Oryzias latipes: one gene and its partners. The protein of the gene in region 3 binds, or shares a complex with, the protein of the main gene of each other region. Links are inferred from orthologs where the notes say so. Each region holds a gene or a part of one and is shown on either strand. Other genes may lie near its edges.

Evidence for each region.
Region 1: uri1 (region 3) and ASNSD1 upstream open reading frame protein share a complex: the UniProt entries of both Homo sapiens proteins name them as parts of the PAQosome complex. The link is inferred for Oryzias latipes from reciprocal best matches to the Homo sapiens genes URI1 and ASDURF.
Region 2: uri1 (region 3) and polr2e share a complex: the UniProt entries of both Homo sapiens proteins name them as parts of the PAQosome complex. The link is inferred for Oryzias latipes from reciprocal best matches to the Homo sapiens genes URI1 and POLR2E.

Annotation. Positions count from the first base shown.
Region 1 is NC_019879.2:16,672,404-16,675,543, reverse strand, and holds ASNSD1 upstream open reading frame protein, read right to left. Parts: upstream 1,876-3,140; 5' UTR 1,797-1,875; coding exon 1,716-1,796; intron 1,426-1,715; coding exon 1,372-1,425; intron 1,276-1,371; coding exon 1,200-1,275; intron 1,086-1,199; coding exon 1,045-1,085; 3' UTR 1,035-1,044; downstream 1-1,034. Other genes in the region: asnsd1 (asparagine synthetase domain-containing protein 1), read right to left, coding at 1-1,034.
Region 2 is NC_019862.2:26,975,187-26,978,874, forward strand, and holds the start of polr2e (DNA-directed RNA polymerases I, II, and III subunit RPABC1), read left to right. Parts: upstream 1-804; 5' UTR 805-921; coding exon 922-978; intron 979-2,715; coding exon 2,716-2,890; intron 2,891-3,688. UniProt on the Homo sapiens protein: DNA-dependent RNA polymerase catalyzes the transcription of DNA into RNA using the four ribonucleoside triphosphates as substrates.
Region 3 is NC_019864.2:30,476,982-30,480,736, reverse strand, and holds the start of uri1 (unconventional prefoldin RPB5 interactor 1), read right to left. Parts: upstream 2,695-3,755; 5' UTR 2,377-2,694; coding exon 2,302-2,376; intron 1,921-2,301; coding exon 1,886-1,920; intron 910-1,885; coding exon 831-909; intron 658-830; coding exon 522-657; intron 1-521. UniProt on the Homo sapiens protein: Involved in gene transcription regulation. Acts as a transcriptional repressor in concert with the corepressor UXT to regulate androgen receptor (AR) transcription.

The sequences.
Region 1 (3,140 bases), on a different chromosome or scaffold from region 3:
AGTTTAAAGGCCACATTAAGAAGGTCTATTGGTTGATGAACAGGTACATGTTTGTCTGCTAAGACAGCGAGGATCATTGAATCAATGCCTCCTGAAAAGAGTATAGCAATGCTAGCCTGGCCACTGCTAAGAGGTAAATTATCTTTTGCCACAAAAGGCAACGAATGAACTCGTCGCCTCACCGCCTCACTCAGGACACCAATTAGACGGTTCACAACTTCAGTTTTCTCCTTGCTGATTAGAAACTCCTCTAGATTTCCTCCAGACACCTGTGAACTGGGATTAACTTCAACCTTTTTTTCTGGAATGGACATATTCAAAGGACAAACAGGTGAAGTGATTGATAAACCTGCTCGATTTATCTCAAAATTGCACCCACTAGGGACAGAGTTAACCATCATTTCACTCAATGATGGGTTTATGACATTTCTTGCCCAGGGAAAAAGCTCAAAGGACACAGAACCACTCTGTGCAGCTGCCTTTACATCAACCTTAAACACGCCAACAGCTGGGACTTCTTTCCAATCAGACTGACCCAGCGCAGAAATCCCAGCTGCCACTGAGGTCAAAGTGAAGACACTGATCTCGGCGTCATATTTCCACAGCAAGCTGCGCCTTCCAAAAAGGTCTCTCCCAAACCAGAGATAATCTTCAGCCTTTTGATAGAAAACAAATGCCCAAGGCCCTTGAATGGCAGACAGAAGTGCCAGAACCTCCAAAGAGTTTTTACAAGATGACAATTTCTGACAGATGACAGTGGTGTCATTCTCTTCTGGCATCACAGAAATCCCTCCAAAAACCTCTCCATTCCACATCAAGACATTTCCAGCGTCGTCTTGAAACGGCTGAAGAGTAAGGAGGCCTCTCATATGGAGAACATGGGCAGAAAATGAGCAGTGATAGCTCAAATCTACAGCAGGAAACGATAGCTCCCTGCTAGAGTTGGGGCCCCTTCTCTTCAGAAATTCATAAATTCTTTTGTCCTTCTCAAATTGAGCAGCTGACAAAGTCAACTGGAAAAAGATTCCACACATTGTTGCAGCTCTAAATATCCTGCAGTTCTTTTTTCAAGTAATCCAGTTCCTCTGCAAGAATAAAAATAAAAAAAGTTTTAAAAAAAAAAAGGTGAGTTATATTGTAGTATGGTACAACATTGTAAAAATTTCAATGCAAGAGGATAAATGAATACTAACACATACTTCTGCTTGTAGACAATGTTTGACTTCTGTCAGCCAGGAAGAAAATGTTGCTGTTTCTCTGTTGGATGTAAACTTTCTGAAGAAAAGAAAAAAAAAATCAATAAAAAATGAATTTATTACGACGGATGGATGGATTTATGGATGGATGGATGTAAAAAGGTAATTACCGTACCCTGTTCTTCTTTAGGTTAGAGAGTTCATCCACAACGACCTTTTGCTCTTTGATCTGGAAATTAGCAACAAGTTAACGTTAACAACCCTATGATGATGAAGCCATCAGGAGATGTATCCCATCATGTTAAGTTTTAATTTAAAGATCAGCAGTCCTTCATTTTTCCAGCAAACATGAGAAAATCGAAACTTATTAAAACAGTAAATACATACTATTGGTGCGTAAATACTAACAAAAGTATTGCTATTCGTTTTTCCGTTCTACTATACATGCTGAAAAAGGTGAATAAACATATCCGTGTTGTTTAGCCAGCTAACAGTAGCGCGTCTTTGATATAAAGTTACCTTTTTACTGAGTTCCTCTTTATATGTGGTTTGCTCTTGGGAATTATCGCTGTTATTGTATTTTTTTGAAGACATTTTCATAAAGGAGCCACGAGGGAAAACTTTTTATCTAATTTTTCTCTTAACAGCGTCTACTTCTGCGACAAACATGTCCGGATATGCGTCATAACCGTTCCGGGTGAAGAAATAGGTGGGGAGTTCGAAGCACACTGCCGCCTAGAGGCCAGATTTGTAAAACACCCGCTACACATCTCAGGGTCCGGGGCCTGCCAAATTATAGGTAACCAAGGGGTAAACACAGATTGAATAAGAATGTCTTTAAATAACAGATTTGATGTAATTTACTTTCTTAAGACTAAAAAAATAGTATTGGGCTACTACAAAAAAGTTTTTTAAACGGAATTGGGTTAAAATTTAATCAGCTAAGCAAGTTCGAGACAGAAGAAGTTAGACTTTTCTGTTTCTACCCGGTTTTAATTTTCATTTAAAGTGACACTTCCATATAAGAAAAAAGCAACAAAAAGAAACACTGATTAAATAAAATCAATTAAGCATAAATTAAATAATGAATCCATTGCACATCTGATATGTTGATCATTTTTGATCAGTTTTCAAAACCACCTGAAGCTATTAAGTAGTCTTTAAAAACACCCAATTAACTGTCTGTGTCTTGTTCCTTTTTTTCTTTTCCTTTTTTTTCTGACATCAGAGCCTCTGAAAGCTGCACCTTTGTTAACCCTACCCTTTACTTTAACCCCAGAAACACTTCTTAAAATATTGCTTTTGGGGGGAAATACACCTCCAGCCAATTGTTGCTAGGCTGGAACAGTATCTCTAGTTAAAAAAGTATTTTTTCATTGTTTACTTGTAAAACTAAACTAAAGTAGTGGCTGAAGACAAACCAACCTGCCTTGTCTTAAGATAATTTAGCTTTTTTATATTTTAGTTATAATATGACATGCTTTCATCTGCTGATGTTGAATCATCAAATTAAAAATAACACATGCAAGTGCATTTTTTCGGGGACTAAAGCTTTTTGTTGACTTGATCTGTCTGTAGACGAACAGATGCTTAACCCCCTTTAAAAGCAGTTTCAACCTAACCCCCACCTCCCTGCTCAAAGATCACACAACCAAAAAAAAATGAATGTTGAAATACCTGCTGAACTCTGCAGCTTATTTCAACCTTGTCTTTGCCTTTTTTCTTTTGAAGTCTCTCAGCATTTAAATAGCTTTTGCATACCTCATAGTTGTTTTGTTTTTTTTACTCTTCAGTTTGAGTCAAAACTGTGCCATGAAGCTCCTAAGATGGAGAGAAAGCTAAAATAGTATTTTTCCTTATTTATGCTGCTGGTGATCTATTATTATTGAAAAAAATAAAGTTTGCAGTTGTTGGTAGAGATCAACAGATGACACGAATGTGATT
Region 2 (3,688 bases), on a different chromosome or scaffold from region 3:
AACTGTCAACATAACAATTAATGGCCTCATTTTTGACAGCGACTTAAATAAAAATAATAATAAAAAGGCCCCAGTTATCGGAAAAAATCTATTTTGTTCATTGTAAGCGCACGTGACTCATTTCCACCCAGTGTTGTGAAACTCAAGTGGGTGGAGTCAAATGCTTGACAAGACAAGGAGGAAATGACGTATGAGGTTTTTCAAAACAAAAATAAAAATAAAATATAGGTCAAAACGTTCAAAAAAAGGGGGGGGGGTAGGAGATAGAGGTGCACGATATGAGGAAACTCGCGTTCTGCGATATCAATGATCAATATTGCGATGACGATATAACTAGCGATACATGAACAAATAGCAAAACAGCCAAAAGACAGTTTCTATTTCACTGCAACAGTTTAATTTAAAGAAGAGTCAAGATGACGTACTTAAATTATACTCAATGACCCTCGTCTACATTCTAAGATTTTATCTATTTTTATAGATAAAATGTGTCATAATTAAAACATAGAAGGTGATATATTTATTTATTATTAGCAAAATATACTAAGCTTTTTTAAAACCTAAATTCAGTCAGTAAAAAATAAATTTAGAAAGAGATTTTTAATTCTGAAGCAAATTTTTATTTTAATTTATTTTTTTTACCATAAGTAAATTGTCTTCAGATTTACATTTCCAATTAGCCGAAGTTAAAAAAAAATACCGAATAATTAAGAACATTTTATGAAGACTTAATAAATTCGCTCTGAAGATAATAACCTGGAGGACTTTTCTTTAAGAACAGTTTTTTTAAACGTCAACTCGATCAAACGCAATGCATTGTGGTATATAATATTGGCCAAGCCAGGAACCATCGATGCCATCGGATTTTTAGAAGAATATTAGTGATTTAAAAATACGAAAAGGAGAATAAATTGAGAAAGGATGGACGATGAAGAGGAAACTTACCGGCTGTGGAAGATCCGTAAAACAATAATGCAGGTGGATTAAATAAAAGGATATACTAGCTTAGCAGCGAACTAGCTGTTAGCTTCACATGTGGCTCGCGTTAAAGAGTCGCTTTTGACTGCCATTGTTAAAGTTGTAACTAAATCTTTTACGTTTTGTGTGTTAATCTCTTATTCTCAGTGCAAGTCGTTCCAATTACGCGCTCAGACTTTTTTTTTTAATTATTATGTGTAGGAATGATGCATTCGTTAGCCTCGTTTGAACGAAGGCTAACTTTAGCACACCCATGATGACCCATTAAAAAAAGCCAACATGTTTTCGTACATGTAGACTACATGTATGACAACATGAATGCTTCAAATCATTAAATACACTTTCACAAAGTTTGCTGCTAAACTGCTTTTAGATTTTTGTTTCTGTGATGTACTGAAATATAGTTATCAGCTCTTTATTACGTTTAGGCTTTTTTTAATCGACAATAATTATATGACATTTATGCAGAGAGTCAGGTTTTGCAGTGTTGGACTTCCTTTGTCAGCACCCCTGCAATTCGACTGGGCATGCTGTCAATCAACTTTAGGGCCAAATCCTGACCGATAGCAACCCAGATTGATTAAGATCTGGGGAGTTTCCAGGCCGTGGACCCAAAATGTCAACATTTTGGTCCCCGATCCACTTAGTTATCACTTTTGCCTCATGGCACGGTGCGCCATCGTGCTGGAAAATACATTGTTTGACGCCAAACTGTTGTTGGATTGCTGGAAGAAGTTGCTGTTGGAGGGAGTTTTGGCACCATTCTTTATTCATGGCTGTGGTTTTGGAGAAAAATGCGAATGAGCCCACTTCCTTGGATGAGAAGCAACCCCACACATCAAGGGTCTCAGGATGCTTTACTGTTGGCACGACACGGGACAGGTGGTAGCTCTCACCTTTTCTTCTCCGGACAAGCCTTTGTCCAGATGCCCCAAACAATCGGATAGAGGCTTCATGGGAGAATAGGACTTTGCCCCAGTCCCCAGCAGTCCACTCGCCATACTTTTTGCAGAAGATCAATCTGTCCCTGATGTTTGTTTTTGGGGTGGATAAGTGGCCATCTTCTAAAAGTCTCCGCCTCACTGTGCATGCAAATGCGCTCACACCAGCCTGTTGCCATTCCTGAGCAAACTCTGCACTGGTGGCGCTCCGATCCCACAGTTAAAACCCATTAGGAGACGATTCTTGGCACTTGCTGGACTTTCTTGGACGCTCTGAAACCTTGTTAACAAGAATTGAACCTCTTTCCTTGAAGTTTTTGATGATCCTATAAATTGTTGATTTAGGTGCAATCTTAGCTGCCACAATATCCTCGCCTGTGAAGCCATTCTTATGCAACGCGATGATGGCTGCACACGTTTCTTTGCCGGTCAGCATGGTTAACAGTGGCAGAACAATGATTTCAAGCATCACCCTCCTTTTAACATGTCAAGTCTGCCATTCTAACCCAACCGGCCTGACATCATGATCTCCAGTCTTGTGCTCGTCAACATTCTCAACTGAGTTAAAAAGACGATGACTGAAATGATTTTTGGGGGGGGGATTCATTTAATTTTCATGGCAAAGAAGGACTACGCAATTCATCTGATGACTCTTTGTAACATTTTGGAGAACATGCAAATTGCTATTATAAAATCCTAGGCAGCAACTTTTGCAATTTCCAATATTTATGTAATTCTCAAAACCTTTGGCCAACACTATACATATTAAAATGTTGTTTGTTTTTTTTAACCACAGCTCTGCCACGATCGAGGCTATCTGGTAACACAAGATGAGTTGGACCAGACCCTGGAGGAGTTCAAGAGTCAATTCGGAGACAAACCCAGCGAGGGTCGTCCCAGACGGACGGACCTTACAGTCTTGGTCGCACACAACGATGATCCCACTGATCAAATGTTTGTTTTCTTTCCTGGTAGGTTTATACTTGAGAATAATTTGGGAACTCATCCTTTTATCCATAAAATAACCAAAAGTTTAAGTTACACTCCAATCATATTTCGATTTATTTTTAAAGGAGTCCCCAGTGGTATTATATTTATGAATGCTCTGTTTTTAGCCAAATTCATAAAAACCTGTGTGGGCATCACTGTTGGCACGGACGTAAGCCCCTGCTGATATCCCATCATCCCTTTTTTGTTTACACACTCTCCCATTAGATTACATTGACTTTATTAGAGAATTGAGCCATGGTGACGTCGCCTTTCTTCCGGCTCCAGAGAAATGAAGCCAATAGACCCTTTTCATGGTGACGTCAGACAAAACAGAGACATGGGCGCCATTGTGTCACCGTACTTCTGGTTTTAGACGAGCAAAGCTGACAACTGAACGCTGTTTAACACCATTCTATGAGAAGAATACACACTAACCTTACCAATCGCAACGGCACTTTTTACATGATTTATTTTATAAATGTCATATCCAACTGTAGTCAATTTCCTCTTTTAAATCTTTCACAAGTCAAAATACAAATTTAAGTAATCCATCAATATTTAAGGTTCAGTTGAAAATATCAACCTTTCATTTGAGTCTAACAGGTTATATTTTTTTACAGTTTCCTATTCTTTTTATCATTTTTCTTTTTCGCAGATCAGACACAGTTATTGGCAATAGCAAAGAGGTTCAGTGTTAGAAAATATTGCAACCGTAATTAGTTGTACTTTAATATAAGACACACTGGAACTGTCTTCAATTCTGTCATATTTGTCCTCCA
Region 3 (3,755 bases):
GAGGAAAGGTCAAACGCAGAAGGCCAGACAGCTCAGCCGCTGTCTGACACATTTCAGCTCGCTGTGTTTGCATTACAGCACTTAGCTGTGTAATAGCAGGGATGGCGGGGGTCAGGAGAGGGGGGGGCGGGGGGGGGGCATTTCTGCTTCACTAAACAGTCTAATAATGTTCAAATCAGAGAGGGTTTTTTTATGTGGAGGTAAAGGCTGTAGCGTCCGGACAACACGCCAAACGACCATAGCGGTCTATAACCTGGCCACAAAAGTGTGGTGGTGGGGGGGGGGGGGGGGGGGGGCTAAGCCTGCAGCCGTCACTGACGTAAAGAACGAGTCCAAACGCTTTTACACAAAGACGTACTTCATCCTGAGCCCAGAAACGTCTGTAAAGTAAAGCTCAGGCTGTCGGAATGTGACGCACTGCCGCCCCCCGCTGGAGACGCCGCCGCTCTGCAGCCACAGGCCGCCGCTCTGCAGCCACAGGCCGCCGCTCTGCAGCCACACGCCGCCGTTCAGAAACTCACGCTTCATCCTGTGATCCACCACCGCTTGGGCTTGTTTGGCCGAACACTTGGCGAACCAGTTGTCGCCCAGCAACACGGTGACCTCGTTGGTGCGCACCAGCTTGCCGGGCGTGAAGGCCAGCGGGCCGAAGGGCACCTGCTCACAGCACAAGGAGGCCCGGACGGGCCACAGAACAGAACCGGGTTAGTCAGAGCAGCTGACAGGAAGTGGGCGCGAACATGGAGCAAACGGGAGACACAGAACTTCCAGTAAAGTTTTGGTTTTTGGGTCACTCTGTAAACTTGTCAAGTGAAACGGCGAGCGCTCACCATGATGTCATAGGAGAGCCGGTCTGGGAGGGTTTTGAGTCGATCGCTGAGCGCGTCGTAATCACCCGACACCTTCATCCTGCAGGTCGGGTCACAGAAATATTCAGAATTTAACCCAATTGATGCGATTTGGGTATAAAATGATGAGTAAAGTTAAAGGATGTTATTGCTCAGATGGCCACAAGGGGGCAATGACAATCATCTATAAGGAAAACTACTTTAAACCAAAACATCTTAACTTTTATTAACTTGCATTAGAGATTAAAAAAAACTTTTACGCCTTCATGAAGACTGTAAACAAAACCAAAATAAATGACTGCTGAAAATCTTTAAGGAAAAAAGGACATTTAAATGCATTTAAACTACATTTTTACAAGAGTATAACTCACAAAATAACCTGAAAGTTTATAGTTTATATAGTAAAAAAAACAGAGCAGAAAAAATAAACGTTTCCCTAAACAAATAAACGCCAATTATTACCTAATTTCTTAAGATTATTCGCCTGGTGCGAGTAAACGATGTCAACCTCATCAGATAGTGGAGTTTAAATTGGCTGATCTGGTTTGTTTTTTGCATCTTTCTGAATTATTTTGTTCTCATACATCCTAGAAAATGAAAGAGAAAGCAAAGAAAAAGGGGAGAATTCTGCAAAAATATGGAAGTTGCTAACGGACCACAAAAGGAAATGTTGCATCAGGGCCGACTGTGGGCGAGGGACGGTTTAGGAGCTAAACTAGTCTTCTGTGGGGGCGTGTCTCCATGGTAAAGCAGGGTGGCGGAAGTATCATGCTGTGGCGATAGACTGCTAAATCCTAGAAAAACTTTTGTCTTTGCCATATGAGGAAAATAATATGGGAAGCTTTAACCGTCAAGTTCTAAAATTGAAAATGCGATCATCTAAATCCATGACTGCAGCTTAAAAAAAAGGGAGGGGGGTTATTCTCCTGCAAACTTTGAGCGTCTTTGTTGCATTCATATCCAAGTCGTACACATTCACACTCAAAGCAGAGAGGAAACCGTAGAAGAGGAGAAACTTTCAGGACTGTGCAGCTTACCAATGCTGAATCCGTGAGTCACAGTCTTTCACCACCTGATGCAGGAAAAAAATGCTTTCATGAACAACATGACACGTTCAACACAACATACATGTTTTCATGCTATCAAACTGAGTTTTGTGTTCCTTATTAGCCAAACAGAGAGAAAGAGAGAGAGAGAGAAAAAACAGAAGTTAGCAGCAAAGGCAGCCTGTAAACATGGAGTCTGAAACCAAACAACCTGCAGGAGTAAAAGCTCAGGTAAAGGTTTGGGGGAGGGGCTTGTGGGTTGATCTAATTCACCTGAAGCAGGGCAAAGAAAAGAAACGAATCTTCTTTCTCCGTATTTGCGGCTCATGTCTGCAGAGGAGGATGTTTTCAGAAGGAAACAAGCCTCGTGGCCCGCAGCTGCAGATCTGCTCACGCGCTCCTCTTACCTTCTCGTGCTCCTCTCGGAGCCTGTGAACCCCGCCGAGGGGCTTCATGTTCGCTTTACCTCCTCCTCCAGCCATCCTTACTCCGCACGTGCACAGGTGCCTTGGGGCTCTGAGGAGCACCAAAGCTCAGGGTTTGTTGTGAGTCCTAAAGAAGTGTTTATGAACGCAGCAGCAGCAGCTCCTCCGGAGGCCCGTCCCGCGCGCCTTCATCAACGGGGCATCGACGGTAATCCTCACGTCCGAAGGTGATATCATCTCACACGCTCATTTCACGGCTTCTGCATGATCTCCAAAAAAATCCGCCGAGTTTGGATCCAGAGGTTAGCAGAGAACTCCTCGCTTCTTTCGCTGTGCAGATCGACCCACAGGGGAAGAAACGGGAGCTGTTCCGGTTTTTAGTTTCAAAATAAAACCCGTGAACGGAAGAGACTTGGAGTGGGCAACGTTTTTTTATGCAAGTTTCTCCCAAAACACCAAACCATAAATTACATGCCAATTTAATCTTCGTTATCACGTATCTTACATGTGTTTTTCTTAAAATGTTAACACGTTATCTAAATGTTCGCTCTTACTTTGAAAACCAAGCGTGTCATTTCTGTTTGACGTCTAGAAAAGTCTACCAGAGTGCACTCTGGGTAAATGTTTAGTATTGTAAATATTTTACGAAACATAAAAAATAAACCGAATCTTAACTTAGAGCTGTACAAGCATTAAAACGTATAAAAACTAACAAACAGAAACACACGTTAAAGAAAAAAAATATTACTTCTAGCTTTAATTAAACTGTCAGTTCAGAAAAAAAAACTTTAGTCTGCATGCGTTGCAATTGGATGCACTATAAATAGTTGAAAGAAGATGCAATAAAGGATGTTCTGTTGGATTTGAACAGCGAATTATTGCTTTTAGTTAAAATATCCATTTTCTTGATGTCGGCATTTAATATAACGTCATTACAGCAAAAATCACAGTTTTATGTTCACTTTTGATCAAACTTTACAGCTGCAGCCCGGAATACTGACTTACAGGCCTTCTTCAACTTTTTCTAATTTTAGTTAAACACGAAATGTGACAACTTTCTGCATCTGTGGTGTTCAAATAGCACAACACACCTGTTTCTCAAATTATCATTTATGATGACTGGATTGCAGTTATACATTCACAGTGTTCACAGATCCAATTACCTTAAAAATTAACTATCATTTGCTTACTTTAGAACCATGTGGAAAAACCTTTTACTAATGTTACGATTAGTTTAATTTACCAGAAAAAGAGGACGAAAAACAGTTTAAACATTTAAAATGAGCCGTAACTCCATTGTTGTTTTTCTTATAATTCAAGTTTTTATTTATTCTTTTTTTGACAACCGAACAAAAATAATGATAATGGATCAATAAAACAAAGCAATAATAATAATCATAATCATCATTATAATCATAATAATAATACAAACAACA